2 linked regions of the Styela clava genome follow. The protein of the gene in region 2 purifies or fractionates together with the protein of the main gene of each other region. This does not show direct contact. Links are inferred from orthologs where the notes say so. Each region holds a gene or a part of one and is shown on either strand. Other genes may lie near its edges.

Region 1 (16,502 bases), on a different chromosome or scaffold from region 2:
GCATTGGATATATACATAACGGATCAAATATCTAAATGCATCGGATCAACTGAAGAACATTTTATTGCATTATGGAGGAAGACTAAGCCGTTGAAGTGTCTCTATCATTTTAGGACTGAAGATTGAGCATAAAATAGTGTCCAAAAAATTATATTCATCGGAAAATCGGTATGCAACCTATATCTATATGGCGGGGATCACATTGGCATTTGCGTCAAGTGCTGTTCCGTGTTCATGATACTTGCCTATACAATGGAAATTGAAATATCCTTTATAAAGTTTTTTATTAATTCCACGACTATTTTTTCACAATATTATAATATGGACACCTCCATGTTTTGATCATTACTGCTTGGGGTATGCTATTTTCTAGATCAAAGTGTTTATAAAACCTATTTGACCTTTCAGGAGTTACAAGAAAAATTCAGATCAGTTTACTTGAGTTCAATAAAAAACATATATATATTAATTTATGCCTTATATATGTTGTGGGGGCGATAGCTGTATAATGTTCATGTAACAAATGATGATACACCTGACAATGACAGCTCGTTATTAATAATTAATCGGAAACACGTGCCCTTTCCTGTTTTTCGTGCAGACGCGCAATGTTATTTTGGTGGAAAAACTTCAAATATTGTTAAAAATAGAATATGCTTGCTCGCAGCGATAGATTAATATTGTTATTACTTATTTATTACGAATGGGATTATAATTAAACAACAAAAATCTGATCGAAATTATTGAACAATTATTTAACAATTATAAAATTCTATCTTTTTAGGAATTCGTCTTAGGAATTGGAGCTGCAAAACATTTAAAAGTAAATAAATTATTAAAAATTACACAAAACACCAAACAATCGCCAACCACAAGTTTCGTTTGCCTTTGCCGGAAGTGTGGGAGGACGACTCAGAATTCCACTTGAGATGCTGGAAGAAACGAGATGGAAGAGCGCGTGCCCGCCGTGCTGAGATGACATGAACTTGAGAAAAATGAAACATCAGTAGCAGATGTTATTATTATTTTGACTAATTTAAAAGAAAAATAAGTTGAAATACTGATACGCACAAAAATTCGTTGTATATAACGTACACCAACTTCTTTTAAATGTATATTGACTTATGACTCGCGAAGCGACTGACGACTTGAAGATTTTTTTTAATTCAGCAATAACATATTTGTAAAAATTTTGATTTTTATGAAAATGCAACGTTTACAAAATTATCAAAATAAGTGTTGCCTGCAATTCCCTATTAAATTATTTGTGGAAAATCTAAAAGATAGGATAATTTCTTTAATTAAATATGACCTATTCGATGAAATCTCAGTAATTCAAGAAAATTATGACATGATTCAAAGTTCTAAACCGTTCGCAGAATGCAAAACAACAAGCAGCAAGTGGTACACAATCCTAAAAAGTTTCAATCATGTGTGGTAATATTTTAAAAATAGTTTCATTTGTGCTTTCAGACCCAGGAACATTAACGTATATAAAACTTGACCAACAGTTATTGAAGTCGACGAAGAGCCAGTAAATAGTTTGTCTTTGTTTTTCTTCATATTTCGAGTTGGAGAGTTAATTAATTTAAAACTTGAGAATATATGTCACAGTATTCTTTATTGAAATTTGTCAAAATTGGCAACCCTTGGGACAAGTAATACAGGTGTGGGACACGTGTGGCAAGTGGGACACAACATTTTTGAGACACCCCCTTTATTACGCATAAGGGTTTATTTCAGTATCGAAGAATGATGTCAAAAGGTAAATCAATAATTTCAGACATTTTAACAAACATTCATAATTGTACGTGTGGGCAAGTGATACAAGTTAGGAACACGATATTTTTGATATACCTAGCATCAGGGGTGTGCAACATTTTTGTCGGTGGGCCCTATAACCATCTTCAGAAATCTAGCTGGGACATATGAAAAATAATTAGTTGTTCCATGTACACAACGAATTAGAGTGATAACGGCACTGGGCAAAACGGCGGAATATATACCACAGCCGACAACAGCAAAGAACATTATTTATTTTTACCCATGTGAGCGCCTTTTAAAACAAACTGTCGGATTAGAATTTTGTGAATAATGGGAAAAAATCTGAGTGTTGACAAAGGCCACACTAAATGGCTTGACAGGCCGGGTTGTGGCAAGCGGACCACTGTTGCACACCCCTGCTTCACATTAAGGACAATCACAGAACTGTAAAACTTCGATTTGGAATCAATCGTTACCAATAGCGCAGTTTGAACACACCACGGACTACTTCCCCGCCATACAGTGCCGGGAAAGTACTTCAAATCGCATGAGGAATGAATTGGGGAGGAGTAGTGTGATGGGTCTGAACAAGAACGTTTGCGATAGGGAAACCTGAACTCTTCCTTGCGATCTTCAGGCAAACCAGTCGTGTTCTCAAAGTCGAATGTGGCGCAAAGTATCATCACAAGATATACAGCCGAGACAATCGATCAGTCATTCTCACCCACAAACTCAAAATCATTTAGTAGATTGCACGGAAACGCTCGTACACCTAACTCACTTTCATGCGTGGAGATGTTCTAGTTAGTATATTAGATAAGTTTACAAAACGAATGTCGTCTTTTGTGCCCATTTCGATCTACACTGCAAGTTCTGATGATCCAGAAAATACCCGAACAGCCTTATTCCCTTCATACGGTCCTTTGATTCGTACGGCAAAATCATACACTCAAGCCCACAAATTAACGAAGGGGCCAACTTTAAAAAGTAAATCATGCAAAATATCGAACACTTGGTTGGAAGATATGTAATATGTATATGATTGAACATCTGATCATTGTTAAATAGAATCAAATATTTCTCGGAATCTTCACGCCAGCTTTTATCAGTTTAGCTAAAAATCTGAAACGGCACGAAAATAGGAATCCCAGGAAAATAGACATTCTGATAAAATCATACCATTTCTAATTATTAGTTAAACAGATTCTCACTGGAAAACATGCTTATGTTGTTACTTGGAATAATTTCTAAGGAAAAATATTTATCATAAAGCGGGGTATTTCGAATTAAAGAATTTGTTTTAAAATCAGGTTTTGTTTAAAAAATTAATTAAATTAACCAGAGGGTTCATTCACTTTTATTGGTTCATAATTCTTTAGAATAACGTCTAGTAATTCTTTGCCTCTGAGGCCTAATTGATAGCAAGTATCCTCTACTTTTTGTAATGACGACTTCATAACATCGATCTTGCTTTGCAGCAATCTTTTTCTTCCTGGTGATACGTCAATAATAGATGAAAAAGACAGAAACATTTCATATAAAATACGTATAAAAGCACATAACTTGAACACCTTTTTTTTCGAAGTTTCAGTGATCGCCTTTGCAGCAGAGTTAATGCATAAGCGCATGACTTCACCAGTAGTATCAGCGATGCCGTATAAATATTCCAACACTGGTATTGGAATGACTAAAGGTTCTTTATTTTCATCATCTGCAAAAACCAAAGATTTTTGTATCTCACTGAGATCAAGTAAACAGTTGGAAATGCTTTGTATACTGTAGTTTTCTTCAGTTTTGAAATAGTACAAAAAAGACATTGCTTCAATAAATTCCTGCAGGCCTGGGGAGAATGCTCTAATGTACGCATGCGAATCCTCATCCTGCAGTTCAGTAGCAATTTGTTTCCACTTCTTCATAATAATATCACATTTTTCATCAGCCTCAGTAATTATTTTGAACTTTGAGTTTGTTTCTGGAGATGTAATATCAATTCGGTGTAACAGAAAAATCAATTTTTTGCTGTCAATCGTTATGTCACGGCTTAGTTTCACAATTTTTTCCCATTTGTTGTGTTTTGTTTCCAATTCTTGTTGAAATAATTGAAACTGATCGATAACATCCATCAGAGATAATAAATGTTACCACTAATTATAGGTTACAGAAACAAAACGAAAATAAGTAAACACTACATTTATCTTGCCTTCATTGCATTTGAAAGCTGTTTATTTAACTCAAATAGCTACCTATGTATGTCAAGTTGGAAAAAGAATGTTTTTGAACAATGTAGACAGAACACACTCTCAGCATAATCACCCAAAAAGAAACACTTGGAGCAACTTCAACTTTCAAGGGCTGCATGAAATCATATTGAAAATTAACAGCAATATCCCAAGTAGATGAATTGACAGTCTAAAACTGATAATTTAATTACTGCTTCAATTCAGATATTTTGTTTGAGGCATATTTTCTTCATGAATTATAACTTTATTAAAGCTCAATGGACCTTAGTATGTAATATAAGCATCTAGATAACAAATATTCGTTTGCTGCTACTTTTGATAGAAGACCTAATTTTTAAAAGGATGAATACACATACCATTCATTCTATAAAATCAGAAAATTTGTGAATTCTGTAACGAAATACTTTATTACTCTCAAATTTTTTCACAAAAATCCAATGTTGAACTCAAATATTAACATGGACAATAGTATGTCATAGAAGCATTTAGAATAAGAATTGCATTCTGCCAGTATAGGTTTGTAAAATACCTAAAGCTTACAAGGATGAATAATCACAACATTCAACAATTAAGTGAAGATGTTCTTTGCCAAAGTAAGTGTCTTCAATATCTCTTTATAACAGGTAGTGTTTAAATCTGTGGAGAAGTGGATAGTGCGAAATCACTTGATTGATAATAAAGAACTTCAGTCAGCCATTCTAATTTAAATTACAAGAACATACTGTGAATGTGGTATCATATTATAATGAAATAGTGGAGAGATATCTCACAATAATATTCGCCAGCCAGTATTTATTCTGAAATTTGGCAGAATGAAAAATTTTTTTATGTCCGTCATTAATATTCTCGAAACAGTTTTGTGTCAATAATTGCGTAGTCAGAATTCATTCATTGTCTTTTTTCTTGTCTTTATCAGAATCTTGTCTGTTTTGAGCAAGTTGATCCATGGCTTGTTGTATTGCTTCACTCGATGTGTCCACACCGGGAAGATTTTGTAGAACACTCTGCAGGAACGCTGGATCAGCAATTACATCTTCTTCATTCGAATCTCCATCATCACCATATTCAGCCACCATCGGGGACTCAGAAATTGTTTTCTCATCCGTGTCCATGGCAGATTGTGAGCTTTCTTCTTGCATTGACATGCGCATTGCATATGCTATTTGTTCTTCTTCCGACATAGAGCTTATATCAACAGGGCGACTACCAGGAGGTGCAGTGGCTGGTACCTCTTGATTCATTGACATTGCGAGAGCCGCACGTAACATGTCATCCTCACCAGTGCCTGTTGCCATTGCAGTTGCTGGAGCTGACTGAGTTTCTTGGATTTCTGATCCTGCTCGAGCTTCTTCTTCTTGACGATGACGCTGTTCTTCTAATGACACACGAAGAGCAAGAGCAAGCTCTGGATCCGATGCTGGGTCAAATCCAAGATCAAATTCACCACCGCCAGAGCTGGGAGCTCCACCTTCTCCAGCAATAATTGGGGAGTTCATTAAAGCATTAGAAAGCATGGATCCTGGAGGTATATTGACAATATTAGATCCTGTTCCATCTTTTCCATTCAGTATTTCGATAAACGAAGTCAGTTTTGGTGTGTTCAACTCTTCTTCGCCAAAGTTTACTATTTCCACATTTACTTTTTCTTTTTTAAGTTTTTTCGCAACTTTATTTATTTCTTTTTCATCGTCTTCAATTGGGCTTCCGACAAAGGCAATAATACGCATTCTATGGTTTTTACTTTGACGATGTTTCAATGCAAGATGTGCAACACGGATGCCATTTAAGAATCTAATATTCCCTTTAGGTTGCACTAAAAGTAATTTTGATAGCAACTTTCCTGAGTCATTTGTCAATGTAACATGAACTTGAACATCAGCAAGAGAGAGTAGCGCAACATTGTTTTCAGGGTTAGAACGTAATTTTGTACGGCATACCAAGTTCGCGGCATCTTGTTGGGCTTGGATTCTTGTTGGCAAATAATCCCCGTTTCTCATGTATTCACTGTTGTCGATACATATTACTGTGCTTTCGAGAACCATCTTGATATCTAGTCTACTTCAGCGCGATTTAACTTTCAGATACTGGACAAAAAAGATCGCAACTAGTTGATCCGCCGACTGTTAACTTACACCTATTACTGTATTACAGGATCACAATGGTTCAGTTGTAACACAGCATTATTTTTATTTCATGACACAGCGAATTTATTTTTCGGATCAGTGACCCCGACCTTTGGCCTCAAACTTATGTTCGGATTAGGGTTGGATTATCCGGATAGCGGTTAACCGGTTAACCAAGAGTTATTTTGCTATCTGATATCCGGATATTATTGTGACGGTTAACCGGATAATAGAGCAGTATAAATAATACATATGCGCGATTAGCGGTTTTTATATTTTTTGTTGAGTGGCGACTGACATCTCCCAGAGCATATAATAACAACTTTTTCCACTCTAATCTGCCTATATATATTTTAGCCATCCGTAGAATGCTGGAGTGAACTTCACTATTACATCACAAAACACGCAGAACAAATGTGATTATTGCGCTTATTAGGAGAGCTTATTCGCTTTATAAAGTTAGATTTGAACTGGAGGTACAGTTTAAGAAAGACTAACTTAAACGAATTCATTTGAAAAGTATTGGTTGGGTGGGTGTGAGTTTGTTGCTTTTATGTCGGGTGTGGCTTTTAGTAATTGTTGCGTGTATTGAAGGAACGCATTTTATCATGAAGTAAACCAGTTTGAATTTCGAGGACTTATTTCACAATACTTCCGATTCCATGTAATCTGTGTAGCATTTCAAAATTTTGGGTACACAACCAAATGTTATGTGCTTCCTTTTAACTTTGGTATATATGTTTTTTCAAATTTCCCTGTATCAATCGAATCAAAAGATATACCAGCTGAAAATAAATCTATTCTATCTAAGTCAGGTGTATGTTAAACTAATTGAACTTAAAAGCTTGAAGAAATGGTCATCGTGAGTCTGCGACACCAAAATTTAGTAGGAGTCAAAATTTAAAGAAAATATGCTATATGTCTAGACAGAAAAAAACTTCCAAAAAATTTAACAATAAAAAAAGGAATAATATAAATTTTTACATAGGATTTGAATATGAGAAAATAACTTAGCAGTCGAGAGGAAGACAATTAGGACACAGAATTTAAAACAATGTTTCACTATATTATTCAGCTGCACTTCTGTACGATTACAGAGCTTAAATTTTTATTTATTGACACATGCAACATCAAAATGCACAATCATTTTTATTCGAGAAAAATAATACATATGTACGTATTTACAATAGAACTGTGTGGTGGTTTTCAGTCAATTCGCCACAAAAATCTTGTAAAATCGGTTCTCTGAAATTAGCAGTAACTAACTATCCGGTTAACCGGATAGGTAAAATACCCGGATATATCCGTTATCCGGATAGTATAAATTATAGGTATCCGAACTAACCCTAGTTCGGATATTATTTTGAATTCCTTTTATTAATCTAATATCAGAAGCATGAAACTTGATAAAATCAAATAATCGCTCAAAATTATACATATGACACTTCTACTTTGTTCCGATTTGGCGTCACATTGGGTCCCGGGTATGAAGTTGCTCGTAGAGTTGAGACCCGCGATGAGCAAATATATGCTCATTGGGACCCAAGAAAACCCGATCCCGAAATCCCGGGATTTGAACTGTTTTTTTTTTTCAGTCCCGATCCCGCAAATATTTCCTAAAAATCCCGGGATTTTAGGGCTTTGTTACCCACGTATAGATATTCTCACAAATAGCAGATTATAGCCTACCAATGACATATAGAGGACTTGCACGGGTCACGTGACTTCGTTACTGGACGGCAATAAAAACAAAAACGTCCATTTGGCTTCTGTCAGTTGCAAGTCGGATTATACTTTTCCGTTTTGTTTGGCTGTTGAAAATGGTTATTTCGTATTGTTCTGTTGGCTGTACGTATAGTATAGACAACGAAATGGATCTTCAGTTATATTCCACCTGTTTTCAAAAGATCCGGAACGTCGTGCAATGTGGATATCATCTATTGGCAGGACTGCTTGGTGTTGGTGTCAAGTCCAGAAGTCATCTCGCTTGTATTTCACTGTTTGCGGACAGCACTTCGTTGATGGTGAGTGATAATGTGCCGTTATCAATTTTTTTAAATATCCATAAGCTCTCTCATTTCAATGGAAAGCAGATGACAGACTACTGTTATTGGTAGGCCTAGACCTACTTGCAGACTTGACTTGTGTAAGGAATTTAATCATCAATTGCCATAATGTATTGTTTCCCTAGTTACTAGTTAGCAGGTAATCTATTACTGAGAGTGAACGGTTGAGGTTGAATAGATAACTAAAGTTTAACACCAGTGGTCATGCAAAAAATAACCAGAATTCAATTGAATTCGCCATCTAGGAATACGCTCGCCACCGCATCTCTGATCACCCTGGTAGTTTCACAGGTTCCAATCCCATGAGGGGATAGTTATGTGCGAGAGAATTGCAGCTCTCCTCCTTGCAGTTCACACGACCGCTGATCGGTTACGACCATCCCCCACCATCCAAGTCCATGCTTCTGAGAACAAATAACTGACTAACTAATCCCAACATAGACTGGTAATCGTACGAGAGACTGTGATTCGTCATATGATTTAGTTGTTGCACCTGCAATCCTAAAGGTGCTTGTACAACTGTCCCAAAATGTCTTTTTATTGTCATTGGTAAAAAAAGATATGCTAGCCGGAATCAAATTCATTTACGACTAGTGTTTGTGGTGGGATATGGACATAAATTTCACACCACTTGATTGTTAAATTTTACGAAAACTCTACAAATATTACAAAGCTAGTGCAGGATCATGATATCAAATGAATCTGTATCCTTTATCTTACAGATATGGGTGTGACCATGGAATAGATGGATGGCAAAGTATAAGTTGCCACAGTGGCAAGACCACAGTGGCACAAGACCTCAGCATCCATTTATTGGTGCTTAACGTAATGACAAAGTAACTTGTGATTACTGTGGATTGGTGGAAATAAAGTGTCTATTGTGCTTGAACGAAAGCAACTTCAATACGACCCTATCAAGAAAATTTTTTTGTTTCGGTGGGGTTGGTAGTGAAGGTTTCAGTCTAAAGTTGGACACCGATACTACAACCAAATACAGTTGCCAATGAAACTTAGCGGGGCGTAATATTGCGACTTTGTGATCTGAAAGAAAATTCTGATGGGTAGCCGGCTAGCCATTAGCTGATTAAGGTTGAGTTATGTATGATCAGGGCAAAAATTTGGAAAACGTAAATCGAATCGAGAGAGTAAGCCAAATGAGAAAAGTTTAAATAAAAAGTATGAATGGAATCAAGAGAGTCGGGGAAGAAATGATTAATCTAGAATTAAGTTAGCTCAGGGGAAATTTAGAAAACGTAAATCGAATCGAGAGAGCAAGTCAAAAGAGAATGGTTTAAAAAGAAATGTGAAGGGAATCGAGAGAGAAATGTTTAAATGGGAACAAATATCCATCGTGTCGAGTAAAAGTCAGAAAAAACGCGTTTACGATAAATCAGTATGTCAGTCTCGCAGCGTCATGCTCGGGTGATCGCAATCACAATATGAAATTGTTGACTGGCAGGACGCTGCAGAAACTTAGCAACTGAAGGGGAATTCCCAGCAACCATAACAGGGGAAGCCGGGTTGGATTAAGTATCGGTACTGATACGGCAATATATAAATAAATAAATATATAAGTACAATTCAGACAGGAAAAACAGTTTTGATGGGAAAAGTTCATTCCACATGTACTTTGGGCAATGATGCAAACTCAGTGATAATGGTCGTGCTCTGTGAGGACAATAAAGAAAAATGGTGACAATGCCAATGGCATTAAGAGGTGAAAAAAGTCACGATCGTTTAGGTAAAATAGAGATCCTGGACCGAATGACCAGTTATAGAAAAATCGAGCCACACAAAAGGTGGGGGACATGGGTTGTATACGGTACACTACTATACTTATAAGGGATCTATACCACTTATTGAAGCAGACTAAAAGGATACATAGGAATCCAGGTAAAAAATTTTCAAAGCTTGTTTGAATGAATTGTAATTCATAATTCGAATGTTATCGGATAAAGCATTCCATAATTTAACGCCTGTATATTTTATCGAATTTTGAGTACGTTTGGTTGAAAAATGAGTTACATAATAGGAACTACTGGCAGAGGATCGTGTTCTATAAGAATGCACGCTGCTTTGTTTCAAGAAATAATCAGTGAATGTAACAGGGAGTTTTTTGTTGTGATGTTGGTGCATCAATTTCAATATCTCTAATTTATAAATATCCACCATTTTAATAATACGAAGTTTATAATAGATTGGATCAAGTTGGGCATAAGGTCCACTGCCAGACACAGCACGAATGGCCCTATTCTGCATTATTTCAATTTTGCGTAAAAGAGTTTTATCAGCGGAGCCCCATGCAGAAATACCGTATTGAATATGGGCTTGGAATAACGAGTGGTAAACCATACGTAAAGTCGAAATTGGTATAAAATGCCTGAGTTTGTACAGTATTCCCACCGACTTAGATAACTTAGCAGCCAAGTTAGTTATATGAATATCCCATTTCATTTGACTGTCTAAATATATGCCCAGATATTTATAAGAATTGACTTTTTCTAATGTAATGTTGTCAATACAGATTAATAAGTTATGATTGGCTTCATGTTTATTTGGTGAAATAAGCATAGACTTAGATTTATCGATATTTAATGTCAATTTGTTAGCCTTCATCCAATTAACCACTTTTACAATTTCAGAGTTCACTCGTGACTGTATAGCTGGTAGAGATTTGTCACTATCTAGAAGTATAGTGTCGTCAGCGAATAGTTTTGCGAAGAAAGAAGAACAGTGGGTGAGGTCATTTATATAGACGAGGAATAATAATGGACCCAACGTCGAACCCTGTGGGACCCCGTGAGTCACTGGTAAGACTGGGGAGCAGTGGGTTCCTACTTGAACGAATTGAGTTCTGCCACTCAAGTAACTGTAGAGAAGTTTATTTGGTATACCTCTGATACCATAATGCCATAACTTTTGGGTTAGAATATTGTGATTAACGGTATCAAATGCCTTTTTGAGATCTAAAAATATAGCACTAACAAATTCTTTTTTTTCTAATTTGTCATAAATGTAAGAGATGGTGTCTAAAATTGCATGAGACGTAGAGTGATTACTCTGGAAACCAAATTGATGTTTATTTATCACGTCATATTTTGTAAAGAAATTACTGAGCCTATTATGAATTAGACGTTCAAATATTTTATTAATTGACGAAAGAATTGAAATTGGCCTGTAATTTGACACAAGTTTTTTATTGCCAGATTTAAAGAGAGGAATTACACGAGCAACTTTGAGGGATGAGGGGAAAATTCCGAGCGAGAGCGAGCAGTTGAACAATTTAACTAGAAGCGGCGCAAGCGGGTCAGCAACGAATTTCAGGAAGCGGGGAGGAATGTTATCCGGCCCAACTGCCTTTCTCTCCTTCAAGTTTAGAATTTCCACTATCATTTCGGATTCTGTGACCAAAGTCATAAAAGCTGATTTACTAACACGGTTACGAAGAAATGGCTTAAATTCACACATGTCATTAGAAAACTTGGCTGCCAAGCTAGATCCAGCAGTTGAGAAGTACTTATTAAATTCGGTTGCGATTAAGCAACCGTCTTTAACTGTACTGCCATTTTCAAGACATACTTCAGCTATCGAATGCTTGGAATTATTTTTTGTGGTTGTGATTTGATTAATGATTTGCCACGTAGACCTGGGGTTACCCTTGGTCTGGGAAATAAGATTTTGGTAGTGAATTTGCTTCGCTTTGTCTAATACGGAAGTAAGTGTGTTGCGATACTTTTTGAAGTATGAGCGTTGCAAGGGGGTTCCACGTAAAAAATGGGTTTTAAACAACTTATTTCTGTGTTTCATACAAGTGATTAACCCTTTGGTTAGCCATGGCTTTAGCCTCAGCCTTTTTTGACGACGCGATAGAGGTCGAAGTGGGGCATGCCGGTCGATGGTACTAACGAATGACTGTATGAATTCGTCAAATGTGTTGTCAAAGTTCTCAGCAGTTATATTAATTGAGGAAAATCGATTATTCATAATGTTATGTACCTCAGATCGAAAGGCATCAATTGAGAACAGTGACATATCTCTTGACAATACACACTCATTCGTTTTTGTGGGTCTAATGCCTCTTAAACAACAAAGTATGGGGAAATGGTCAGTTATATCGGAATGCACGACAAAGGAGTCAATTTCTAGATGTGTCAAATTGGTGTACATGTGGTCAATTACATGTGGTCATGTACATGTGGTCTTAACCTTCGCTGTTTGATTAAGAAACTTTAGGATAATATACTGTAGACTTGTAGAGTATGGATTCTTCCAAGCGTCCAATTCCTGATTCGCCAAGTACATCACAGGAGGAAGATAGCGCACTAATGGCGGTTATAACAAGCACTATTCTTCGCCAAGTACTGATACAATTGCCATCAATGATTGATGAATGTTTGACCACCAAAACAACACCATCCAGTCCATCGGATCTTTCAAGAGTTGCCGAGTCTAGTTTTCAACACATTCTGAGTTCACTAGACTCCTCATTGAAAGATATGAGAAGCGAACTCAGTGTGATTGCTAAAGCTCAGAGTGACCTCAGGGACAGCCAAAAATTCTTATCAGATAAATTCGACTCGATTAATAAATCTCTTAAATCCACACAAGATATGGTGAAAAAACAGCAGAAAAAGATTAAAGATCTAGAAGAACTTGTGGAAGACCTTGAGGATGATTGCGACCACCTGGAAGACCGTGTTGAAGACCAAGAGAGAAGATCACGATTGGAATGTCTCGAGTTCCACGGTATAGCTTATAATAATAACGAAAACACCGACCTGCTTGTATGTAAACTGTCAAAGATCATTGGAGTGAACATTACCACCGCAGATATCTACAACTCACATAGACTAGCACATGATAACTCAGATAAACCTTCTGCCATAATTGCTCGCTTCACCTCTAGGAGAGTCCGTACCAACATAATTACAAATAGAAAAAAACTGAGAACAGCAAAAGACCCTAATAAATTCTTCAACTTCTCCAAAATTTTCATTGCGGAGAACTTAACGAAAACAGCTAGATCGCTTTATTTTCAATCAAGGGAACTAAAAAGACAATGTGGATACAAATACCTTTGGACTAACAATGGGAGAATTTTTGTCAAGAAAAACGATGACACAAAAACAAGACAAATCAGAAATGAGAATGACCTAGCATTCATCAAATAGGTCAGTTGCAATAATATTTTATTACTCGCATCTTCTTATACTGATTCTCTATAAATTCATGATGTTATTCTCTTAACGTAAATGTCCAACAATTTTAACATTGTCTGCAACAATATTGAAGTTTCGAAATTGAATTCTATTCGTATGTCTTCTGATCTTATTATTTTTCATACTAATATTCGCTCTCTCCATAAAAACCTTGACCAACTAACTTTCTTATTATCCTGTTTCTCATTACCGCCACACATAATAGCTATAAGTGAAACCAAACTAGTTGATAATTATTCTTCAAATATTAACATAGATGGGTATACTTTCATCCATGCACCATCTCTTACTAAAGCAGGAGGCGTAGGTGCGTATATTAGAAATGATGTTACCTATACTGTAACCATAGAAAATAGCATTCGGTACTCTAATTGTGAAAATTTATGGTTTGAAATTTCTTTAGAAAATTTTATAGATAACCTGGTAATCGGTATTATTTACAAATACCCACGCAATGACATCTACGACTTTACGAACTTACTCGAACAATCCCTGTCTAAATTGGCTAATAAAAAATTCCTCATTGTTGGTGATTTTAATATTAATTTATTTTCAGCAACTAACAGCACCCAAGTTGCAAATTACATTAATATGCTTGTGTCACACAATGATATTTCATTAATATCCGAAGCCACAAGAGTCACCCACACCTCAGCCACTCTTATTGACCACATGTACACCAATTTGACACATCTAGAAATTGACTCCTTTGTCGTGCATTCCGATATAACTGACCATTTCCCCATACTTTGTTGTTTAAGAGGCATTAGACCCACAAAAACGAATGAGTGTGTATTGTCAAGAGATATGTCACTGTTCTCAATTGATGCCTTTCGATCTGAGGTACATAACATTATGAATAATCGATTTTCCTCAATTAATATAACTGCTGAGAACTTTGACAACACATTTGACGAATTCATACAGTCATTCGTTAGTACCATCGACCGGCATGCCCCACTTCGACCTCTATCGCGTCGTCAAAAAAGGCTGAGGCTAAAGCCATGGCTAACCAAAGGGTTAATCACTTGTATGAAACACAGAAATAAGTTGTTTAAAACCCATTTTTTACGTGGAACCCCCTTGCAACGCTCATACTTCAAAAAGTATCGCAACACACTTACTTCCGTATTAGACAAAGCGAAGCAAATTCACTACCAAAATCTTATTTCCCAGACCAAGGGTAACCCCAGGTCTACGTGGCAAATCATTAATCAAATCACAACCACAAAAAATAATTCCAAGCATTCGATAGCTGAAGTATGTCTTGAAAATGGCAGTACAGTTAAAGACGGTTGCTTAATCGCAACCGAATTTAATAAGTACTTCTCAACTGCTGGATCTAGCTTGGCAGCCAAGTTTTCTAATGACATGTGTGAATTTAAGCCATTTCTTCGTAACCGTGTTAGTAAATCAGCTTTTATGACTTTGGTCACAGAATCCGAAATGATAGTGGAAATTCTAAACTTGAAGGAGAGAAAGGCAGTTGGGCCGGATAACATTCCTCCCCGCTTCCTGAAATTCGTTGCTGACCCGCTTGCGCCGCTTCTAGTTAAATTGTTCAACTGCTCGCTCTCGCTCGGAATTTTCCCCTCATCCCTCAAAGTTGCTCGTGTAATTCCTCTCTTTAAATCTGGCAATAAAAAACTTGTGTCAAATTACAGGCCAATTTCAATTCTTTCGTCAATTAATAAAATATTTGAACGTCTAATTCATAATAGGCTCAGTAATTTCTTTACAAAATATGACGTGATAAATAAACATCAATTTGGTTTCCAGAGTAATCACTCTACGTCTCATGCAATTTTAGACACCATCTCTTACATTTATGACAAATTAGAAAAAAAAGAATTTGTTAGTGCTATATTTTTAGATCTCAAAAAGGCATTTGATACCGTTAATCACAATATTCTAACCCAAAAGTTATGGCATTATGGTATCAGAGGTATACCAAATAAACTTCTCTACAGTTACTTGAGTGGCAGAACTCAATTCGTTCAAGTAGGAACCCACTGCTCCCCAGTCTTACCAGTGACTCACGGGGTCCCACAGGGTTCGACGTTGGGTCCATTATTATTCCTCGTCTATATAAATGACCTCACCCACTGTTCTTCTTTCTTCGCAAAACTATTCGCTGACGACACTATACTTCTAGATAGTGACAAATCTCTACCAGCTATACAGTCACGAGTGAACTCTGAAATTGTAAAAGTGGTTAATTGGATGAAGGCTAACAAATTGACATTAAATATCGATAAATCTAAGTCTATGCTTATTTCACCAAATAAACATAAAGCCAATCATAATTTATTAATCTGTATTGACAACATTACATTAGAAAAAGTCAATTCTTATAAATATCTGGGCATATATTTAGACAGTCAAATGAAATGGGATATTCATATAACTAACTTGGCTGCTAAGTTATCTAAGTCGGTGGGAATACTGTACAAACTCAGGCATTTTATACCAATTTCAACTTTACGTATGGTTTACCACTCGTTATTCCAAGCCCATATTCAATACGGTATTTCTGCATGGGGCTCCGCTGATAAAACTCTTTTACGCAAAATTGAAATAATGCAGAATAGGGCCATTCGTGCTGTGTCTGGCAGTGGACCTTATGCCCAACTTGATCCAATCTATTATAAACTTCGTATTATTAAAATGGTGGATATTTATAAATTAGAGATATTGAAATTGATGCACCAACATCACAACAAAAAACTCCCTGTTACATTCACTGATTATTTCTTGAAACAAAGCAGCGTGCATTCTTATAGAACACGATCCTCTGCCAGTAGTTCCTATTATGTAACTCATTTTTCAACCAAACGTACTCAAAATTCGATAAAATATACAGGCGTTAAATTATGGAATGCTTTATCCGATAAAATTCGAATTATGAATTACAATTCATTCAAACAAGCTTTGAAAAAATTTTACCTGGATTCCTATGTATCCTTTTAGTCTGCTTCAATAAGTGGTATAGATCCCTTATAAGTATAGTAGTGTACCGTATACAACCCATGTCCCCCACCTTTTGTGTGGCTCGATTTTTCTATAACTGGTCATTCGGTCCAGGATCTC
Region 2 (17,291 bases):
AGGACCTGAAGGTATTGTTGTTACAGAAGCTGGGTTTGGAGCAGATATTGGCATGGAAAAGTTTTTCAACATAAAGTGCAGACAATCTGGCCTTCGACCTCATGTTGTTGTGCTGGTAGCTACAATTAGAGCAATTAAGATGCATGGGGGAGGACCAAATGTCACAGCTGGAATGCCACTGCCAAAAGAATATTTTGAAGAGAAATGTGACTTGGTTGAAAAGGGATTCTCAAATGTTCGGAAGCAAATTGAAAATGCCAAGTATTTTGGTGTGTCTGTTGTTTTTGCTTTAAATCAATTTGTATTTGACACACAGAATGAGGTTGAACTAGCATTGAGGCTTGCACGCGAGGCAGGTGCTTTTGATGCAGTTTCATGCACACATTGGGCGCTTGGGGGTAAAGGTGCCACTGACCTGGCTCGTGCTGTAGTGGCTGCAGCAGATGCACCAACAGATTTCAAATTTTTATATGATGTTAATTTGCCTATTGTGGAAAAGATTGAAATTATTGCGAGGAAAATTTATGGAGCTGATGGGGTTGAACTGTCACCAGAAGCAGAGCAAAAGGTAGAGCAATATACCAAACAGGGTTTCGCAAATTTACCAATATGCATGGCAAAGACTCATCTATCTCTTTCTCATAAGCCAGAGTTGAAAGGTTCACCAACAGGTTTTACATTACCAGTGCGAGACATTCGCGCAAGCGTCGGAGCTGGATTTCTTTACCCACTCATCGGGACTATGTCAACGATGCCAGGGCTTCCAACTAGACCATGCTTTTATGATATTTCATTGGACCCAGAAACAATGGAAATTAAAGGACTGTTCTAAAATTAAAAGGTTTTTCAATAAATAACTATGGAGTAATTGCCTAATCAATCAAGTTGCAATCTCATTTTCTTTACAAACTTAGCAATCAGGAAAAATATAAACCATTCATGGCTATTATTAATGCCGATTCCAGTGATAAAAAGCAATATGCATCAAGACCGTTGCTAAGTGAATAATTGCCAAGACGGGGATATGTTGATAATTCTTTTTCTTGATTTCTAATCATTCCGTCTGCCTTCTTACTTCCTAGCTGAAAATAAATGTTTAACAAAAGCGTGTGGCATTATCGTTAATATCTTGACCAAGGATCACCTTCGTTGTACATTCAACATCGCACCCCTGAGATCTAGAAGATATAAAATACTATTGTTCAGACTACAAACAGGCCACTGTCGTCTGAACTTTCATCTTCATAAAATTGGACTACACGAAAATGGATTTTGCGACACCTGCACGGAAAACGAAACCGTCGAACATTTAATATTAAATTGTCCCCGTTATAACTTCCCAAGATCAATTTTACTTAATCATTGCAAAGAACTGAATATAGGCCCCGTGAATATTATCAATTTGCTACCAAATCCCAGAATTATATCATTTGTTATAGAATACGTCCTCGTAACGGGTCGAAGCATTTGAGCACCAAACGCTCAATATCACAGTCCGGGTGCACAAAACTAAGCCAGTTATACGCACCATTAAAATAATAAACCCCGGAGTTTCAATTTGCTAACCATTGTTGATCGGCAGGTAATCACGCGAGAACTACTGTATAAGATGAATGTGTGTAGTCGATTACATATAAGATGACCAGTGCGTATTGTTGCCATGGTAATGGGCCGTCCCGTTGACCTTCCACGAAAGCCCACGTGTCTGTCTTGCCATAATGCATGACTAAATACCCGTTCAGTATCTTTAATTACAAATCACAGCGCCAATCTTTATACTAAAAGCGAGAGTTCACTCAACGAGGTGGTAGCAAGCCGCAGTATGTTCCCTTGATTTTTATTTTAGGGAGGGTGGTAGATATTTTGTTATAGTAATGTAACTTTTAAAATGTTCATCTTCACCGGCCTATGAGCCATTTTTTTAATTATACAAACACATTTTTATTTACGTTATAAATTAAAGTATGGTGTCACACCTGAAAATTATGGTAAATTTTAGGGGGGGATCACTGTAGCAACACATGGAACCGCTGACGCATTTTGAATTTGTTACATGACCGTCTCATCGAAACGTGATATATCCCGCGCTTAATCTTTCATCCGAGCAAGAAGACTTTCCCTTTCTTCATATTTATATTAACATCTACGGAGGAAGTTACTCATTTACAAAAGTAAGAATTATATCCTCTCATCACTGGCATGTTTTCTTCATTGAATTCAAATTGAAAGTCAGATTTTGTTCGGCACGATGCCTCCTAAAAACGGGTCTAATATTTTTCATTTGGATATCTTTGGAAAGTACAAATGTCCTTAACTAGTACTAGTGATGCTTGGCGCAGCAAAAATGAGCTTCTTGTTCTCTGCTAAACGTGCAAACCCAATGCCCATCTTTTGCCGCCGTTCAAATATTCATAATTTCCAGCAAGAGTTTATTTACACTACTCCTCCTTATTGCAATTGAACAAAGAATTTTATACGATTTTACGGAATCAATGGGTATATAATTCACCAGTCATATCAAAGCACGTTTCCAATGACCACTGGAATAAGCTTCTCTAACACAAGCTTTGGCGTCGATTCACATTTGACAGAAGTCGCTAAAGCAGGGCGAGATGCCGCATGAACATCATGCAGGACAGGTAGACCAATTTCACCAACAACCACTGGAAAACTTGCCCTAACACAAGCATTGGCATTTCTACATATTGGAGTGTAATGTTATACTGCTTATCAAAAACTCGCCTTATGAGATATCATAATCATATTATTCACAAATATATTTTGAGGAGAACTTATCAGAAAAGAAAACAAGTTAAAGCAAGTCAAACATCACAAGTCTGATTAGATATTGGATGCCCAGAAAATGATGAATAGTATTGTGTGATATATCAAAACGTACATATCAAAACTAATAACTAATTTATTCAGCCTGGCAACAATTTAAAATGTATAATTGTGGTTGTAGACTCCTGTGGCACTTGGCCTTACTGATTGCTGTGCCATAAGCCAATCTCTTTCCCAATCGCCAGGAGGAGGCACCATGCCTTCTATTATTTCAGCTGGAGCATAGTCTTTACTTATCAAAGGTTCGTCATTAGCTCTTCGTTTTTCTATCCATGCATGTGCTTCCCGAGCCTTCCATTTCCTATCATTGCCCCTGTGAGTAATAAAAAATCAAGTTTAACGACACTATTCATGCCAGAATAATTTGGTTTGCTTATTCAGGTATGTTAAATTCAAACAAGTCTTAGTCTTTATTAAAGCACAGTCTTTGGCCTGGCAAGCAATTAAAATTAAAAATTTAAAGCAGTGGTTCTCAAACGATATTGCGTGCACAGAAGCATAGACAATATTTTGAGGGGACGGAATAAAACTATTTGTTAGATTTGATCTTGCCCACCTTATTTGTTTTTAAAACTTTTCATTTATTTCATTATTTACGTTCCATCCACGTATTTTCAACGTTTTTTTTTATAAACATATTTTTACCTTACTATCTGTTAGTTGTATCTTGTTGTTAGATAGTTATTTTTGAGGCGGGGCACGAGACTTGACAAATTCGAAAAAGAAAGTTCGAATACCACCGATTTTAAGGTCTACTACAAGCCAATTTACGGAATAATGATTCACTGCTTTCTTTTAAATTGGGTCAGAGATGAAAGTTGATGCACTTGCCTAACCAATACTACTAAATGAAAATTAAAGCAGGAAAGTAAACCAGCCTTAACTCATAACTACTGGCTCAAATGTCCAGTGAGTAAGTGTGAGAATATGGTAGCATTTCTCATCATTTCATAGTGATTGAAAAACTGTTCATTTCGCCTTTTCACTCGAGCATGAAGAATGAATGAAATAATTACCGTAGTAAAGAGTATCACACAATTACGAAGTCTTACCTCCACATCGGTGTATAGGATAACACAGGAAAGAGGAACATGAGTGTCAAAGACCATAGAATCAACCAAAAAGAATGGTATTGCATTTTGTCAACATATGGTTGATCTTTATAAAATCCATAAAACTTTTCTTCAGGCTAGAATACAAAAATGAAATTGTGACACCATCATTAAGTTGCATGAGTTATTACATCAAAATGTAGATATGCCAATCTGAATCAATGAAATTAATAAAACAATGTCTATTGCGATACTTTTAAAACACTATCACAAACATTCAACATTTTTCATTAATTTGCTTAAGCTGACTCAATTACATGGCAGGCAAAGGCAAAAATTGTCAGAAAATACAGTAATCATACATCTTTCTTTTTCAGCCTTTCTAGTTCAATCTCATATGGTGTTTTTTCTGAAACAGTCACTGGTGCTGACGCTCCCTTTTTGCTTGAAGATGCCACTCTCCGTATCCCCAAATAGATGACTGGAGAGTTTTTACCAGCTAAAGTTATTAGGTTTGGTTTGCATCGCCTCACCATTTGAGGCAACCCATGTCTCAGTAAAGATGCCATGGGTCGATGGCAAGTGCACTGAAAAGACATAATATTACACAAGATTGATAACAAATTTACTCAGTCACAAATTATATTTATATAAGAGTATATAAGCCATAGAAGGGCCACATCCATATTGCCTGCTTGTTTTTTTCCCTATATTTACTGAAAGCAGACTGTTACGGGAAAAAACTTTTGTTTGAACATAGATAACATTCTCATTAATATTGGAAAAATAATTGACAAATTTTTCACGAATGACATCATTCCCATGTTCATTTATATGTAGTAACACAAAAACCACATTTCAAATAAACTTATATAAGATGAAAGTATGGCAGAGCATAATGAATAATTAAATCACAAAGCAAATATTATACAACATATATCATTTACATACAACATACAGTTAGTTATGAAATACAGTATTAGCAATTGTGAAATTTGAAAGCCAATTTTAATGTCCGTTATATTTACCAATGACTCAATATTCAAACACAAATATTAAAATATATATTTCAATATGCATGGGGTCCAATATAAATAGCATTTTGCCCACACCAAAATTTTTTTTTGCCAAACCAGTAATTAAAGACGAGGGGTCACATTTTTCTGTATGCATTAATATCTTGTACTCAAACACATCTAACATCAAATGAATAAAACTCGTAAATTAAGCAACAATTCTGCATTTTCGAAGCAAGATCTTCAACAATTCAAAATTGGCTCTTTGGAAATTACGGTATATCAAAAGATGATTAGAAATATTACATATTACACTGAAACCAAAGAAATGAGGCATGGAAAATGTGATCGCTATGCCTATAAGCACCAGTCTCTGAAGAAAATACATAAGAAACATTGATGATTTATTAGCTGTTATTATAATATATTAGCGATTAGCAAAACAGAACCTATGCATTGACATTCATTTGTAATGAGGAATTGACTGTTTGTGAATCACAAGTTATTATATTACCCAATTACATATTCACATTTTGATGACTCCAATTGTAAAGCAGTCACTGAATAATAGACATGAGGATTTGAACGAATTATAACATGGAACAATGGGGTGAATACTGCTGGATATTATTTACAATTACGGCAGTCAAACTGATCGAATACACTAAAAGCATATAACTATATGTTAAGCTGACTTAAATTAGAGCAATAAATTCAGTGATATTGATTAACCAATGTGTTTCCAAATCTAGTAAGAGAATGAATGTTATATGCCATCTTAATATTCTATTTTCTAGAAAATGGATATTGGACGAACTGTGCTATATTACTCAGCACACGCCAGACAAAAAAAAATTACCTATTATGTCAGACTGAAAAAAATGTTAGTTTTTTAATAAAACTGAAGACCAATCAGTTTCCACACAGCTAATCAAAGAGTATGTGAAAATTATTTAGAAGGATTAATTTAAGCAATTATCAAAAAATTAGTTGGTTTTTGTAGCAAACAAACACAAAGAATGTTGAATTCGACTAGGATTTTTTCATTGTCTCATCCTAAACACAAGAGAGAATGAAGCCTTCATAAGATTATACTTTAGAAAATCTCCTATTAAGAAGTACCATGTCCAACCTTGCTCATTCCTTGTCTAATATATACAATGCAAAAAAATTGACAAATAAAATCAAAATTCAACAAGAGAAACAACTAATACCTCTCATATAACAAGGTATACATTTACACATTGAGTTATATAGCCTGCAATGCAACAAAAGTGATTATCAAGATATGATTATTGGCTTTTTCATAAATAACCACTTAAGCTGAATTTCTCCAGCAAGTACCTGTACACGGGATGGAAATAAATTATCCTGTGATAAAAACGAAAGATGCTTTAAAATGTCAGGGTTGGAACCAGGGGTTGAGAAAATCAGATTATAATATGACTTCAATAATCAAATTAAATATTTGTATCACCTACATCTAGTTTTTTAAAGTGTAACTGGCGTTTCATTATAAAATTCAATTTAGACCTGCAGACATTTACGAAGATACAAGAATACTGTTAATTTGGTTATTTATGATACAAGTAATTTCATTAAAATTGTCATGTATGTCATGTCATAGATTGATAATAAAAATATGGTGTATTAGATTTCTTGTTCAGAATTCAATCCGCCTTAGAAATATTTGACCAACCCTAGTTGGAGCCAATATCAACTCCAAAGTAGAAATCAAATCTCAATAAAATTAGTCTGTTTGAGTCATATCACTAAATTGATCAGAAATATTCCAATTCCAACCCTGACATAATACAATTAAGCTACAGTAATTATTTACAAAACAAATGATATAGTAAATTATTTCTGATTGCAGAATAAGATATATATCATGTGGTTGCAGGGATTATGTTAATACAACAAAATATCAATCCAATCAATTTTTAAATACAATATTAACGAGATAGTAGCCTTTCAATTGCTGCATTAACATTTCCGCCTGTTGCTATTAAAGCCTGAATATTGGCTTCTCTATTCATAAATCCCATAGCTGTCAATTGCTCAAGTTCGGTTCGAAATCTTTCTTCAGGGGGTTGAGTGTTCGCAGATGGGTTCGTGGCTGCCAGTGACATCATTATCCGTGACAAAGCCTCGGGATCACTCGCAAGAGGATTAGTTGACTGCTGTGATGGGGTTGTCGATGTCGTGGAAGATGGTGTCGAAGTCGTTTGTGCTCGAGGCATCATTGGCATGGATGTCATTCCTGACAACAGTTGTGGTGCCTCACGTGATAATACATCCATGCCTTGTTGAATTTGAGTCATTGCTTGCAATACTCTAGGATTTTGCATTGCTGCTTGAAACTCCGGATTCTGCATTTGTTGAATCATTGTTGGAATCATTGACTGGAGTTGGGGATTATTGGCAATCATGGGATTGTTTTGCATTGCTGCAGCAGTCATCTGCGGATTTTGTGCCATCATATTCATCGCACTTTGCATGTATGGACTTGACATAAGATTTTGCATTGCGCTAGGGTTTTGCATCATATCCTGCATCATGTTTTGTATTCCACCGACACCAGGGGCAGCAGAAGATGACGTGTTGGTAGAACTACCTGTTGTTGGAGTGGTCGTAGTCGCTGCGGTTGATCTAGTGCCAGAACCTCCCCATGGATTTGGCAGTGGTTCTGTGTTTTCAACACCTCTTTGTGCATTGTTATCACCACTTGAATTATTGCTGTTCTGAATGAGACTAGCAAAAGGATTTCCGCCAAATTGCTCTTGGGCAGCATTCAACATTGGTTCCTGAACATCTGTGTACATTCTACGCAATGCATTGTAACCTCCAGGAATACTTTCTAGGTTGCTCAAGGCTCGATCTTGATTCCTCATCACTTCTTGTAACATTGCTGGGTTTCTTGTATATTCCAATGCTTGGCGCATCAACTCTGGATTGTTCAGTAAATGGCCGACTTCGGGGTTTTGTTCTATCAAAGCCTGCATTTGAGGGTTGGCCCTCATCAATTGTCCCATTACTTCAGGATTTGACAGCATGTTTTCAACCATTGGATTTCCCATTATTTGCTGCATTAGATCAGGATTACGCATCATTTCTTGTTGCATTTGCTGTTGCATGTCCATCAAATTTGTTGAATTAAATCCTGGCATTCGGGGAGGTTGATTCGGACGACTTTCAGTTGCGGTTGCTGTTGATGCAGATGATTGAGAAGATGTCGCGCTCTGACCTGATGTACTAGATTGAGCTTGTGGAAGACTCTTGATTACAAGATGAATTGTCTGTCCATCTTTGAGCTTGTGCGTTTCAACGCTTTCATTGTCCTTTAAAATTTTTCCCGCAAATATTAGAACGACTTTTTCTGGCGATGACGCAAATTTTTCCGCAACCTTTTCACGTAATTCTTTCACAGTTCCTTTTCCGCTAATCTCAACATCTTTTTTTTCTTTTGGCGTCTTAATCGAAATTTTAATTAGTTCTGAGTTTTCCGAATCCGCCATAGCGATGAAATTATTTTATATTTCCCAAAATTGCGCGTTGCTTCCTTGTAACGTGTCCAATTATAAAGACTAAACTAGAAATGAGTAGGATGATACCACAAAAAGTTAACAAGCTTCCAGATTTCAGAAGCGTGCGAAACTTCAGCACTGTAATATCAGTTAGATCCTATACGCAAAATAGTAGGTGTACATCCTAATATCATCATACGATACAATGTATGGATATAGAAATTTTAGTATTGGAATTCCAGTTTATATTGAAGATTGAAATGTTTGTATAATGGCATTGACTTAGACTATTATCATTATTATTGAGCTTTTTCATAAATTACGTTAAAATATTTTTATATCGTAAACTTAAATAATTTACTTCAGTTTTATTGACCATAAAAATGTATTTTTTGTTTTTATTGGTTGTATTTATCTGAAGTTAGACTGTTACATACTGTTCTTCAAAAATAATTGAAATTATTAATGCAGTACTGTTAACAAAAGTCATGACGTTTTTGTTTAGCACTCAAATAACTTATTATGAAACTGCATTATGTTGTTGATACATAAATGAAAAGGAACATGAATTTTGCGTGTGGGATTTATTTAAAAAACTCTGGCAAATTTTCATTGTGCTTTGTAGCTGACATCTAACGGCTTCTCGAACATTCCACTATTGCCAATATTTTACGTGCAGTAAGCGAAATCTATATTTAAGTACACGTGAAGTTATAGATTTATTGGACACGAAATGGATCGTTTAAATATTATGTTGTTGTTAGAATTCTTTGTCATGTTCTTGTTGTTATGAAAAAAATCGGGACAACACTAAAAGGCTAAATAAAAGAAGAAACGGATGAAGTGAATGAATTCCGGAGGTTGAAGTGTTCCCAGATGAGAAATATTTAAAAATGCTAAGAGGCTGAACACTAAAAAGAACAAGAGAGTTATGATCAAATATATTATGGACACGTAGCGCTACCTAATGGCAATAATTTTGACGACGTCATAGCAAAAAAAGAGTAAAGGCTTCTGAAGAAAATTTTTATCTTTCACCACTGAAAATTTCAAAGCAATTGGTCCAGTAATCAAAGAGAAAAGCGACTTTTTAAAAACGTGTCAAAGAACAAGAACAACAACATAATATTGAAACGATCGCTATGTCCACTACGTGTCCAAAAAGTGGAGGAAATTTCTTCCGACAGGTGGTGAGGTGGTTGAAGTCACTAAAAAGCTAAACAGTAATAGGAAGAAGTGAATGATATTTCTTTCGAAGGGTGGTGGGGTGGTTGAAATCAGTATAAAGCTGAACACTAAAAGGAAGAAGTGGATGAAATTTCTTCCGACGGGTGGTAGGGTAGTTGAAAACACTAAAAAACTGAACACTAAAAGGAAGAAGTGGATTGAATTTTTTCCGACGAATAATGAGGTGGTTGAAAACACTAAAAATCTGAACATTAAATAAAAGAAGTTGGTGAAATTTCTTCCGACGAATAGTGAGGTGGTTGAAGTCACTACAAAGTTGAACACTAAAAGGAAAAAAATGGATACAATTTCTTGCGACCGGTGGTGAGGTTGTTGAAAACACTAAAAAGCTGGACACTCAATGGAAGAAGTGGACAAAATTTCTTCCGAAAGATAATGAGGTGGTTGAAAACACTAAAAAGCTGAACACTAAAAGGAAGAAGTGAATGAAATTTCTTCCGACGGGTGGTGAGGTGGTTGAAGTCACTAAAAAGCTGAAGACTATAAGAAAGAAGCGGATGAAATTTCTTCCGACGGGTGGTGAGGTGGCTGAAGTCACTAAAAAGCTAAACAGTAATAGGAAGAATTGGATGAAATTTCTTCCGACGGGTGGTGAGGTGGCTGAAGTCACTAAAAAGCCGTACACTAAAAGGAAGAATTGGATGAAATTTCTTCCGACGAATAATGAGGTTGTTGAAAACACTAAAAAGCTGAACACTAAAAGGAAGAAGTGGATGAAATTTCTTCCGACATTTAATGAGCTGGTTGAAGTTACTTAAAATCTGAACACTAAAAGGAAGAAGTGGATAAAATTTTTTTGACATTTATTGAGTGTCTGAAGTCACTAAAAGCTGAACATTAAAAGAAAGAAGTGGATGAAATTTCTCCCTACATTTAATGAGGTTGTTGAAGTCACTAAATAGCTGAACACTAAAAGGAAGAAGTGGATGAAATTTTTTCCGACGAATAAGGAGGGTGTCGAAGTCACTAAAAAGTTGAACCTTAGGAGGACGAATTGACGAAATATCCCGATAGGAGTAACGTGGATGAGGTCACCGAAGACCGAGTAATGTGATTGAAAGCACTACAGATGGATGTAAAAGCTGTTTCTAAAAATAAGCTGAAGATTTTTTATGAGATTTGGCAGGTAGTGTCACTATGATTTCCCGGGAAGCGACTGTTTTTTTGTTTTGTTTTATACTCGATATAAGTGATGCTGAATTTTACTTTTATGGGGAATGACTGACTTGCAGGTGCCGAAGTGGCAGGGGCCTATGACTCCTGGATATCCAATTCGAATTCATAAGCAAATATCGCGACCTTCGTTTTTTGTGTTTATAAGAATACCGAATATCGCGCACACGTCCTAGCGTTAATGTCCACGTTTTGATAAAAACGATTATTTTATTTTTTATCATATTCGAAGACAGCAGGCCTGGGCGGCGCGGCAATAAATTACAGCCAAAATCAGTGGATTTCAATTAGCACCGACTTGAAGTTTTAATAACTCTTCGAAATTGTTTTTGATTGAAATTATTTTACAATTAGCATCGTATATTCCAATTTCCATTTTTTTCACGTTGCACAAGACGCATAAATCATCATTGTTACAGGATCTGTTGAAGCTAGGGCAGTCCGGGTAACGATACTGGTGATTTACGATGGTCCACAGTTTCAGCTTCGTCCAAGATATGATTTTTGGGGAAATTGTGAGTAAAATATTTTGTTTCGGCTTTCGTGTTCATGTATTTGAGTATTGCTTCCTTATTGGACACTTGGTGGACATAATGATCGTTTCAACATTATGTTATTGTTTTTGTTTTTCTTCTCCGTTGTCATAATAAAATTGCTCTTCGAATACAGGACAAATTGCTTTGAAATTTTCAGTGGTTAAAGATTGCTTTGCCAGAAGACTATCACTTTCACTTATTTTAAAAATTTCTGTGAACCTCAAGAGCTTTCTTTTCTTGTGTGCAATATGTGTTGCAATAAAAAATAGCGACAACTTGTGGCGTTTCCATATATTTGAGCATAGCTCTCTTGTTTTTTATTATTATAATATGTAAGTATATCAAATCGAGGTCGTGAGCACTGAACTAAAATGACAAAATGAGCATGGACAGTGCACTAGCTAGCAGGCGTCTCTAACCAGAGACAATGCATAACAATGCGATGTGACATTCATGCTCTGATGAGGTATAACTACGTTTATCTCTGTGGAAGGTATGCCAGCAAACATCACGGGCGTAATAAAAATAGAAAAAATTAAATATAAGCTTAGTGATTGTCGAGAAACTTGATTAACAACAAATTTAATCAGTACAATTGAAGTTTTGGGAACAAATTTTGGCTCTGAAATTTTGTTCACACCTATGCATAATCGGGAGTTTGATGGTGTCTATATTAGATTGACAGAAGGCATTTTTGAAGAAAATAGAAGTAGCACACATTTTTATTCTATATGATAAAAAAATATAACTGAAGACATCTGAAATGGAAAAGTGCTTGAACAAGAATTATACTAAGACGCACTAACCACGTATTTTACTTCGAAATATCAGTGTAATACATCGACAGACTGGTCTTGTAATTGTGAAAACAAAAAGAATGCTTATGTACGTTTCCATTTAAAATTTATTTAAAAAAAACCCGCATACAAAATTGAATCACGGTCTTGGATTAATTGGCATAAAAAGCGAAATGGCAAAGAAGAAGCATCAGTATAATATACCGTCTAATTACCTTTACAGTATTCGTCTAAGGTGGATCCGAATTACAAAAATTGCACTACATTCGCCATTTTCTACCCTCTCATTTTTTTTCATAATACGTCATCTCAGCCAACGTCGCCATTCAGCTTCTTCTTTGCCTTTTGTTAGGTAAAGTAAATGTTCTGTTTTAATTGCTCGGCGGTGTTTCGCGCTGAGCGTTAGGAATACGCTCGCTACCGCACCTGCGTGGGTTAGCTGGTTCGAATCCCGCGCGGGATGAGAATTACCGTGTTTCCTCGAAAATAAGACCTAGCCCGAGTTTTAAAGATAAGACCTAGTCGATAGTGCGAATTTGTTTTCCTGGCATAGTCGATGGCAAGGAATCTCTCCTATACGTTTCAATAAATAAATAAATGAAAATTTTAATAAAAACGTGTTATTAATAAGTAAATGGATATCGGTTGTTGTCATATTTTGTATATTCGAAAAATCTCGTAATTCTCCACTTTGTAATTTTGTTTTTGATAAATGATAATAAAAGACATTCCCCAAAATAAGCCCAAGTGTTATTTTTCGGAAGAAAGTTAAAATAAGACACTGTCTTATTTTCGGGGGAACACGGTATATGCGAGGCGAGGCGCCGCCGCAGGCTGGTTCAAATAACCGCTGGTCAGTTACGACTTTCTCAACCATCAAGTCCATGTATCTGAAACAAATAACTTGTTATTAACTAATCTCATACCCTACATGGACCGGTAACCGGACAAGTGACCGTGTTCCGCAAGATGTTTGAGCCGTCTAATCGGCTTTCATCTCCCCGGGATAAATATAGAAATGTACTGATATCGGCATTTATTTCGGTATTGGTATATGTTCGGTATCGGCTAATAATATGCTTCCGATTCTGCTGTTCAATGAGATCCAGAATGTTTTTAAAATGAGTTGGCATCCGAATGTTGATATCTGAAACAATTTTTTTTTTGTGGAAGGACCATGTTCGCGGCCAACCTGCTGCACTGGAAACGGGTATTATAACGTCACAATATCTGATACTATGATGTTTTATCATCATTTGAACTTGTTTTTAGATTCCAATTATTATATACTAAATATAAATATAATCACTAACAACAGAATTTTATGAAATATATATATTAAGAAATGTGACCTTATGTATACTGAAGTTTTCACACACTGTACACATATGTACACGGAATTTATTAAGAACGCCCTCAATTCTTACTCGTTTTGAGCTATTCCTCATCCAAACTACCTTCCCAATTAATTTATCTATTTTCGCTACTAAAATTGTGTTATTTAAATATTTGACAATAAAGAAGAAAAATATCAATCAAATATCACAGTGAATTTCCTCGTTGTGTGAAAATAAAATTTGACATAAAATTGTCACAAAATTCTGCGTACGCCACTATGGGTATTGGTTTAATAAAAGTGGTAAACATTTATCGAATATACCATTACGGTAGACAACTTGGTATGAGTTTAAAACACCGCTATTCCCAGCGCCCGTGCAAAACGAAACGTCTGCAGACACCTATATTAATATGTAAAAGAAGTGTCGAGTCCATATTTGCATACGTGCAGATTTACAAGGCAATTTACGATGCAATTAATTAAAGTAAGCTATTTTGATATGCCTTCAGTAATGAGTCAAGTGACACTCCATTTATGCGTCTAAATATTTTTTATTTGTGTTTCAAGCTGAAACTCAAGAACATGCGTTAATTATTGTTACATATTATCGGTGATGTCGACACCTTGAAATTTATCTGGTCTTTTTCATAGTTTGCTTATCCCTTAAAACTATTTTGTTCTAGTATATCTGAACTTATACCTTTGTCTGGGGTAGACAAATAATTGTTTGAAAGCTGGTATCGTTTTAGCAACAATAATATACTTTTTTAAAATCAATCGCGAAAATATACGAGATAAATGTTGGGGTACAATTTATCGTGATAGGCACAGCAGATCTTGACGCAAGATACGATGAAGTGTGATGGAGAATTGTCCATCGATCCCATACCGCGACGATAATATACTGAAAAGCCAGTCAGCCAATCGTTTATTTGTCATCACCAACGACTACCGGTAAATAACTGCGCAGAAATTCATGCATCAAATAAATATACTGATACTCTTATTTGTGTGACCGGAGTCGAGAGGGTCCTCGAGATGTCTTCAAGCAGCGACACCTACATCGCTAGTACAGGTTGGTGTAAACTCTAAAGTCTAAGGAGTACAAATTTTGACTATGCAGTAGTTGTGATAGTGAACATATTCTCAGAAGAACAACCTGGTTATTGGAAATAAATAATAATGTCATTCCTAGTGAAACAATTTTTGCGAAACAAATAAAAAAATGAAAAGTAAGGGAGTCAAATTGACAAAATTAACATAAAAGATTTTAGAAGTAAGTTTTATATAATGATTAACACTTTACTAATTTATCGGATATCCTCTAGACGCGACTGTTTGTATCGTGAACAACCACAATATCGTATTTTAATAATTTTACATTTGAAAGAAATTTATTTAGACGCAGCAAATCATCACAGCAGACCGAAATTTTCTTCTCAAAAATCATGGATTTCATTGAAATTATTTCTTAGGTCGAAATTAGAAAAATGGGATAAAATCTTCTTATATCGGTATTAATTTTTTTTTTTGGGGTCCTAACCACAGTGTGACCTTTTTTGAAATATGAGTACAGAGAATAGTTACAACACTAGGAGCGATAGCGAGGCTCGCCGAAAATTTTTCGCCCGCTTCCAGATTTATAGGCCGGCCTTACCTCAGGCTTCCGTGTTCGGCGGGATTTTGGCGCATTGGATTTAAATTCAAACGTGATGTCGGTATTATTGTATATATACATATATATTCAAACATAGCTTAAATATGTTAAAAGTTTTAGTTTGATCTATACTGGCAATGAGGTACTTGTAATGCCCGATTCTGCGATTCGAACTTGTGATTTTAACGTTCTGCAGGTCTGACGTTAGTAAAACATTGTCAGATTGGTTAGTCAGTTAGTGGATGTGTAAAATCTGATAATAGGATACCTATACCGCAACAATCAGTTGTGGATTCCTGTGTTCGAAATACCTGAATACAGCACTTAAATAGCCTAGGATTTGTAATAGGCAGATAGGTGTCAATATTTGCTAATCATACAGTCGTATTGTTGTACTGTATCTAGTCAGGTAGGTATAAAAAATAGTCAGTTGTCTTAGGTACTAGCATAGAACAGTAGAATTACCATGGTCTAGCTCAGTAAAGAAGTAATAGTAGTAGAGTAGAAAAATCTGGATGTTGTGTTTAAAAAATATAGTAACTTAATTTTTTTTCAGGATTTTGTGTTTATTTAATTTGGATTAAAACATTGCTTTATTATTCTGAAGTTTTATATTGATTTAATGTAAGTTAAAAATAAATTACATATAACATCAACATTCAAAGGCAAAGAAAAAATGAACATATTTTAAAACAAATTGTTATTAGAAGTCATTTATTGAAAACTGCTTTTTTTGCTTGAAATCAATTTAATGGGAGTAATGGATTCAAGCATTGACATTGACACATTTCTTCGATCATTACGTGCTACCAAGCCACCATGGGAGTGTCCGAAATGTCAGAAGATTTATAAAAGTTACTCTGGAATGGAATATCATATGCTTAAATTTGATCATGATGCAGCTCCAATGACCCCAAGCCAGAAACCCACACCGTCAAATTCAAATCGAAAAGGACCTCGCTCAAAGTTTGCCATGAAAAAGAAAGGAGGACGAATGAGTGCTAATACACCTAGACGCTCTCCATCTCCTATTGGTTTTGCATCACCAGCCCGAGAGACTCTGACTTGGGCCGAAGCTCAAAGAATGGTTGAAGTTGAATCAGAAGGAAAAATTTATAGGTATATAACTTAAGCTTTTGCTGTGCTGAATTCACTTTAAAACAAAATGAAAAATGTAATCTATATATTTTGTTTCAACTTCAATGGAGTAAGATTCCACAAATTGAAAACATTTTTATGTATTAGACTGATGATTTACCTACCTTGAGTCTTGATTAAAAACTAAGATGTCTAGAAAAGATTTTATATCATGTATATTTTTTCTATTGCTTTTCGCTAGATTGGACATAAATGAAAAACTAGACGTCATCTCGGATTCTGATGTTGATAAAGATGATGACAGTAACAGCGGAAATTCATCAGACGGAAGTTCAGATACTCAAAATCAAGAAGACTCAAAGAAAAACATAACTAAAGAGGATGGAGGAAACAGTGGACCGGCAGGGAAGAATGGAAAAAGCAAAACGGGAGGGAAACCCGCGGTCAACAGCAAAGACTTGAAAAGTGTGACTCTTCCTATTCAACGAGATGGAAATTCAGCAGAATCAAAGCCAGTTGAACCAAAGCTTCCTGTACCATCGTTTCGCGTCGTCTCTGCGTATGGAACTGAAGCAGCTGATGCTCCAGAACGTCGTATGGCTTATTATCGATATATTGAAAGACCAGTTGAAGAATTGGCAGAGGAGGTAATTCATGTTTATTGTAATATCACCTTTATTATTGAAGAAAAGAAAGGATAGATTTGAGCACGAGTGTGCAATAGGCGGCCCACTGCCCACAACCCAGCCCTTGTCAACACTCATGATTTTCCCCAACCAGCATAAAATCTATTCCGACAATTAATGTTTCAAAATGTGCTCACAGATAAAATATGTAAGCATTAGGCGCTCCTCTTCTCTTGCCTTTCCCCGCTAAATTTTTTGTCTGTAACAGTGTGACCCGACTAGATCTCTGAAGTTAGTTATATGGCCCACTGACGAAAAGTGTTACACACCACTGGTATAAAGTATTTGTGACCATTCGAAATTTAACTATTTTTGAGA

Evidence for each region.
Region 1: the proteins of ubiquilin-1-like (region 2) and 26S proteasome non-ATPase regulatory subunit 4-like purify together in Drosophila melanogaster (affinity purification with western blotting; 3 studies listed by BioGRID, with this or other methods). This does not show direct contact. The link is inferred for Styela clava from reciprocal best matches to the Drosophila melanogaster genes Ubqn and Rpn10.

The regions. Positions count from the first base shown.
Region 1 is NC_135250.1:20,477,015-20,493,516, forward strand, and holds 26S proteasome non-ATPase regulatory subunit 4-like, read right to left. Parts: upstream 6,195-16,502; 5' UTR 6,047-6,194; coding exon 4,889-6,046; 3' UTR 3,909-4,888; downstream 1-3,908. Other genes in the region: translin-associated protein X-like, read right to left, coding at 3,099-3,887. UniProt on the Drosophila melanogaster protein: Binds and presumably selects ubiquitin-conjugates for destruction.
Region 2 is NC_135258.1:15,528,123-15,545,413, reverse strand, and holds ubiquilin-1-like, read right to left. Parts: upstream 8,577-17,291; 5' UTR 8,431-8,576; coding exon 6,868-8,430; 3' UTR 4,496-6,867; downstream 1-4,495. Other genes in the region: C-1-tetrahydrofolate synthase, cytoplasmic-like, read left to right, coding at 1-832; uncharacterized protein LOC120339369, read right to left, coding at 2,941-3,157, 3,897-4,033, 4,259-4,495; peregrin-like, read left to right, coding at 15,941-16,308, 16,529-16,934.